2 linked regions of the Styela clava genome follow. The main gene of each other region encodes a partner of the protein of the gene in region 2 in a complex. Links are inferred from orthologs where the notes say so. Each region holds a gene or a part of one and is shown on either strand. Other genes may lie near its edges.

What was found. The genes of interacting proteins can lie anywhere in the genome.
Region 1: the proteins of NADH dehydrogenase [ubiquinone] iron-sulfur protein 3, mitochondrial-like (region 2) and NADH dehydrogenase [ubiquinone] 1 alpha subcomplex subunit 5-like are in contact, whole or in part, in a cryo-EM structure (PDB 8ESW), measured with the Drosophila melanogaster proteins. The link is inferred for Styela clava from reciprocal best matches to the Drosophila melanogaster genes ND-30 and ND-13B. Residues at the interface, in NP_647775.1 of Drosophila melanogaster: Tyr66, Glu69, Cys70, Leu71, Pro72, Lys73, Tyr74, Val75, Gln76, Lys77, Leu89, Ile90, Ala91, Pro92, Glu93, Val96, Pro97, Gln100, Phe101, Asp104, His105, His106, Gln107, Gln109, Val119, Val121, Cys123, Arg124, Asn126, Glu129; in NP_648409.1 of Drosophila melanogaster: Tyr28, Ser43, Tyr44, Tyr47, Thr48, Leu51, Arg55, Cys74, Gly75, Glu79, Gln83, Ala84, Asn86, Glu87, Ile89, Leu90, Lys93, Met94, Trp97, Lys98, Pro99, Trp100, Glu101, Lys102, Leu103, Val104, Gln105, Ala106, Ala107, Pro108.

What each region holds. Positions count from the first base shown.
Region 1 is NC_135250.1:11,173,747-11,177,464, forward strand, and holds NADH dehydrogenase [ubiquinone] 1 alpha subcomplex subunit 5-like, read left to right. Parts: upstream 1-908; 5' UTR 909-1,053; coding exon 1,054-1,068; intron 1,069-1,768; coding exon 1,769-1,930; intron 1,931-2,747; exon of another isoform or gene 2,748-2,914; coding exon 2,915-3,079; 3' UTR 3,080-3,144; downstream 3,145-3,718. Other genes in the region: nucleolar complex protein 4 homolog, read right to left, coding at 3,219-3,718.
Region 2 is NC_135254.1:12,649,896-12,652,726, reverse strand, and holds NADH dehydrogenase [ubiquinone] iron-sulfur protein 3, mitochondrial-like, read left to right. Parts: upstream 1-1,094; 5' UTR 1,095-1,095; coding exon 1,096-1,923; 3' UTR 1,924-2,276; downstream 2,277-2,831. UniProt on the Drosophila melanogaster protein: Core subunit of the mitochondrial membrane respiratory chain NADH dehydrogenase (Complex I) that is believed to belong to the minimal assembly required for catalysis. Complex I functions in the transfer of electrons from NADH to the respiratory chain.

The DNA of each region.
Region 1 (3,718 bases), on a different chromosome or scaffold from region 2:
ATGAAAGGGTGAAATTGATAAAGAAAAATGGTGTAATGCAGCGGCCCCAAAAGGGTATGATACTAGTGCGCTGTAGCGTGTTGCAAAATGCGCCGCGAAAACTAACAGAATTGTGTTCAACATAACTAAAATATGATTGAATATTTTGCATATTGCATTTATTATAAATGTTTATTGCTCCCTATTTTAAATGCTGTGTATATTGATCAATAATTCATTTTACCTTTTTTTGTCGTTTACTTTCTATTACGTAGTGTTTGCCTCTAATGTTACCTAACAATGCAGTTAGAAGTACTTGCTGCAATTTTGCGAGCTGCAGTTTGTTTATTTGCTGAATCGAGTTTAGCGAACATGAGTGATTTTTTTCAGCATTTTAAATAAAAAACCAGGCAGAGCTCAAAAATGAAGACCTTTTGCTTTTGTCCGCTTTAGGCCGACCGTGACGCGATATTGAACGATCGCAGGTTGGGCGACAACTTCACGATCCCGAGATAGCCTTAGCGACCAATTAAGTCGTAATTTTGGTCCCCTCTCCGCGGAACACTTGGAAGATGCTCGCGGAACACAGTTTGGGAAACGCTGGTCTAGCATAAAAACATCCAACAAATCCCCATCCCGCAGTCACAAAACCACAAACAGACATCCATGATAACCCACCGGAGACCAGAGGCACTCCCACAGACACTCATGACCAGAATCCAACCGAAAACCAACCACACTGTACCGGTACCAACCACATCACACCACAGCACACGGTAACATGATTTCAAAGACAGATCGACAGTGTCACAGCGTCCTCAGTGTTGAAAATACAAAATACAGTAAGAATATGACATCATTTAACAGTTAAAACAAGGTTCGTCACAATATCATTTCAATATTGGATTCGGACTCGGAGTTCCGATAACTGACTCCGGGCCAACATTCTCCGGTTTTATTGCTGCAACGGGTTTGTGATTTTGGCAGCTAAATTTCGAGACTTGCAAGCGGTTTCTGCCTTCTGGGAGATCTTCGGCATTGTTTGTAATCTGTGAGCTGATAGGAAGGTCTAAGATGGCGTCCAAGCTGGTAAGATTTTTCACCATACAACATATATGCTATTTACTGCAGTACCGGTACTAACCTGCTAACTGTTATCAGAATACTGTATTCTGGCGGTACCGGTAGCAGTATAGGTACAAAACTGAATCAAACTGCAAAACTGAAAAGAATACTTGTAATCTGTGCTTCCATATCATATCACAGTACCTTATCACTGTATCGTGGGCACCTTTGCCGTACACAAACAAATGTTGTCAGTAAAACATCCAACAAGTTGACTATTAAACAACAATTCCTGAATTCACTAGACGAATCCTCCGAATCACCAAATTCGGAGATTATAAATTCTAATTTGGGCGCACGTTCACTAAACGGCCGTAAGTACTTCTAATTGGCATTTAACAAACATTTTTACATACGTTGATCCTAATCATGATTTGGGAATCCCACCATGGTTTTGCGGCAGCTCTAGGCGCCACAAAATAATTGAAACTGCACTTGCTAATTTGAGTAGTCTGGCGAGTGTATATTACGAGATTTTTTTTTTAGCAATCAAATGCCTTGTATCTGTGTAACATACGGTAGTGCAATAGTGTACAGTACGGTACCGGTAGCTATCATGACTGGTGATCTAAGCTTTTAATCTCATATCAAAAATGTTTCATCCACGTAGAAATGAATTTGGTGGCATCGTTTCGAACTATACTGTTAATGCATTTTTGTTCAGACAACAGGGTTAGTGGGATTAGCCGTGGAAGCAAATGGCAAACAGAAATTAGCATTGCTTTACAAGAGAACACTTGAAATAGTGGGGAATATGCCACAAACTGCAGAATATCGGCAGAAAACAGAGGCTGTAACCAAGCACCGACAAACTATTCTCAACAAGGTAAATACTACTGCTATTTTTATCTTTCAAGCATTTGAGAGGTAAAATAATATGACTGGAAAAACTAGAACAGTAATTAGAGGTCAAAAATTTAGGAAATTAATTAATTTTTGTCTCATATCTTATATCAGACTGATCCATATAATATATATTTAACTGAGAGGTGGCCACCTTTTTCGTCTTCAATATTTTAAATTCATCTACAACAATTTAAATGAGTTTGAATTAATTTCCCTTTCAATCTTAATAATAGCTATGAGACCAACTGTATAGGTAACACAAGAATATGATAATTCCAAGCATTGTTGTGATTTTTGGTCTCATGGCCACCCAAACACTATGAACTAATAATGGTGAAGTATGTAGGAATATTTCATTGCCAAATCTAGGCCCTTTGCAGCAAGAAACCAAGCAAACTTCTGTTACTCTCACAAGATTCCACCAAACATTCAAAGTTGTGCATTGGTGATTAGTTCTGAATGCTAGTCATTACTCTTAATGTGTTATCAAAACAGCTTACCAGAAAATGGGCAAATCCGGCCAGTTGTGTAATTTTATCTGGCCCGTCTGATGCTGCCACAACCAAACTAAAACCAAATTTTGAAGTATACTAAAAATAGCTCAAGTTTGTTGAGATTGCGAATAAATTTAGTTTTGACATGTGGCCTATTGTTTTCCACTTTTGCTTTTCTAACACTGTAAATATTGTTCATAAAATGTAACTTTTCACACTTACATGGCCTGTGCAAAATTTTTCGCCCTGGTCCAGAAAACCTTGCCTATCCCTGCTCTTATAGCTCTCATTGACACAGTGAAAGACTCTTGATTTATATTTAATTTCGTCTAATCATTTTGTTGGAAATTAAAAAGACGAAGATCATGCACACTTGGGCAGGACTATCAGTTAAATTCCTTATCACAATATCAACAGACTCTCATTTATCCATGATGTCTACATGCCATTTTCTCTCTATCATTTTACAGTACACAGATATGGCACTGGTAGAAGAGCATATTGGAAATGGACAAATTGAAGAACTCATAATTCAGGCCAAGAATGAACATCATCTTGCCAGGGAAATGGCAGAATGTCGACCATGGGAGACATTGGTTGGAGAAGCACCACCTGGACAATGGGACTGGCCATGAATATTTTTGAATATATTATAATTTATTTTTATTGTGTTCTTCTGATTACAACATCCACCTAATGAGCTGTGAGAATATTTATTTCATGCACAAGGGATATGGGAATTAGGTTTAAGAAGATATTGCATAGTCCTATTTTCTAAACTGACCATAGTTCCATTACAGCATCATCAAATCCACCAAACAATGTTTTTGGCGCTCTGTAATTCATAGGAGCGTCTACAATTTCCTTCTCGCAAAGTGTATCAAACATTTCTTCATAAGTATTTTCAAGCAAGTCTGTAATGTCCTGCTTTGGTCCCTTGTCAATGTTTTTTATCGCAGCGCTTACCGAAGATGAACAATGTTTCGAAAGAGCTGTCAATTCCCATAAAAAGCTTTCCATCGCTTTGCATTTTGCAGGATCAACTTCTGCTTCCAAGTATGGATCGCCAGCTAAAGCTTTCTTTTGTAAGGCTTTGGTATTTTGGTTTATGAGAATTTTTATAGAAGGGTGTCTGTCAATTAAAGTCTGAATAAAATTTACCAATAATTCTTGCGCGCAGGTTGGTGCAACTAACGTCAATCGTGAAAGTCTTTTAGCAAATGCTGCAACCAAATATGCAGGCAAATGTGTTGATGACAGGAAAACATCCAAAA
Region 2 (2,831 bases):
AAAGAGTATCATGAGCTTCTTAATTTTTTAAAAGCGACATGTATTCTTCCAGACACTGCACCAACAAGAAAGCGGCACATACGGTATCGGTAGGACATACATTCGAAAAGTGCATTTCAGTACCGGTACGGTTCAGTGGTTTGACCTTAAACCGAACCCCCGAAGCAGCACCACTAATGCCAGTATCTGCTCAAGTTATGTTGCGGTGTGAAATTATTCTAAATAGATATTGGCCGACTAGTAGTAATGTACGGTACCGTACCTCATTTTTTAGTTGAATTTTTCTTTATTTAATTTAACATTGTCATAAGTCATAAAAGAGTATCATGAGCTTCTTAATTTTTGTATAGCGACATGTATTCTTCCAGACACTGCACCAACAAGAAAGCGGCACATACGGTATCGGTAGGACATACATTCGAAAAGTGTATTTCAGTACCGGTACGGTTCAGTGGTTTGACCTTAAACCGAACCCCCGAAGCAGCACCACTAATGCCAGTACCTGCTCAAGTTATGTTGCAGTGTGAAATTATTCTAAATATATATTGGCCGACTAGTAGTAATGTACGGTACCGTACCTCATTTTTTAGTTGAATTTTACTTTATTTAATTTAACATTGTAATTATCTGGTCATATCCCACTCATACCACCCCATATGAGACTCATATGGGCTGGTGCAAAACAGAATTTATACAGCCATAAGTCGGAGTTTCTTGAACAGCGCGAGAACGGTTTTGTAGTCCCTCAATTCTATATTATGTTTTGGATAAATTTAACAGCATAACGGTAATGTGTTGATATGCTGAGTACATACTATGCAGGTACAGAGCTACCGGTACCGGTATTGGTTAACTCTGACTCTCCCCAAACGGGAATTGAGGCATGACTTGTCATTAATGGTGCCAGTGCTGCCAGCAGGTTGGTCCTTGACAACTTGAGTTCATTGCACATTTATAGATGCATCAACATACAGACATATAACATACCGGTATTATATCCTTCCATTTGAATGTCGCTACCAGTCTGCCAGTACAAGAACCACTATTTATTCTACTGTATTATATGAAGATCGTAGTGCAAAATCAGCCATCTTAATGAATTTTATTATCATTTCCAGAATGGCCTTTTTATTTCGAGGCATTTCACGCTTAGTTACAACTAATGTTCATTCAAATTTAGCGCCAATCGTGTCTTCGAAGGGTCTGTCAAGGTGTATCGCAAGCTCCAGTCATCTACAGACAAATGAAGATGGTGTCACACCTCCCACCGACAATTTACCTGAAATTAAAATGTCAAGGGAAGTTGCATGGAATCAGCTGATGGAATTCGGTGATTATGTTGCCAATTGTTTACCGAAGTATATTCAACAAGTCCAGCTTACTCATACAAATGAGCTCGAGGTCATGGTACATCCTGATGGAATACTTACTACAATGAGCTTCCTGAAAAATAACACTTTATGTCAATTTGAGTCCTTGGCTGATTTGTGTGGAAATGATATACCAACAAGAGTCTATCGATTTGAGATTGTGTACAATCTACTCTCTCTGCGATACAACCAACGTATTCGAGTGAAAACTTACACAGACGAGTTAACACCGGTTGATTCTGTTTGTAGTGTGTATCGTGCTGCCAATTGGTATGAAAGAGAAGCTTGGGATATGTATGGTATATTATTCCGTAACCATCCAGATCTTCGTAGGATTCTCACTGATTATGGATTTGATGGCCACCCACTTCGTAAAGATTTTCCTTTGTCTGGTTACCACGAGGTTCGATGGGATGATGAAGCTGTCAGAGTTGTTCGTGATCCTGTTGAGCTTGCACAAGAATTTAGAAAATTTGATCTTAACAGTCCATGGGAAGCCTTTCCGAAACATAGGAATACAGACAACCTTAGTTCTCCTCCAAAACATGAATAAACTGATTTTAGAAGTTTTCTTTGATAATATATTTGAGATATTTTCTTTGTCCATATTAATATTTGCATCATAAACAAAATTTTTCTTTCTGCTGATGTCATGAATTTTTATATACAAGTATTGCATATTGTTTATTTGAAAAGTCAGTTATATCAGTAGATATGTTTCCAAGGTTAAAACTATCTCAAAGTATTTGATATTTAAAATTTTCTTGTGTGGTTGACCATATTCATGAAATTTTCCATTGGATTGTATGGTTTATGGAAGATTTACCTAACTGAAAAATGCTTTTTGTGGGTTCATACTTATTAGCTACATGATAATGACCTTGTGTATTTGCTTTTGTTTCAGAATTTTGACTAAATTATGTCGTTGCCGAATAGAATTTGTACCGTTAAACTCCTCCAAACTTTTGTTAACTATAGTAAATCATCCAATACGTCAGTAATTTGTAAGAATTCTATACCAGCACCAGCACTTCACTCTGCACGGATATGCCAACCATTTTCTACATCCACGGCAGAAGGGAACACAGGGGAGATAAAAATAACTAACATTTTGCAAACTCGATTCCCTAATGCTGTGAAAATTGATGTAGAAGATATTTCAGGTGGTTGTGGAAGTATGTACGAAATTCACATTGAATCGGAAGATTTTTCAAAAATTCGAACTGTTGCTGCACACAAGCTTGTGACAAATGCCCTAAAGGAGGAAGTTTCTAAAATGCATGGTTTAAGAATATTTACATCAGCACCCAAATAAAAGTTCCAATTTTGCCTGTGGGTTGGCATTGCTCAAGAAAGAGTGCAAGCATTGTGCAATTGCAGGAGTGTAAATTCAACATTAACACTATTTTCTTCCATATATTTAACAATTAGAATAAGCTATAAAGCAAATGTAAAAAACTC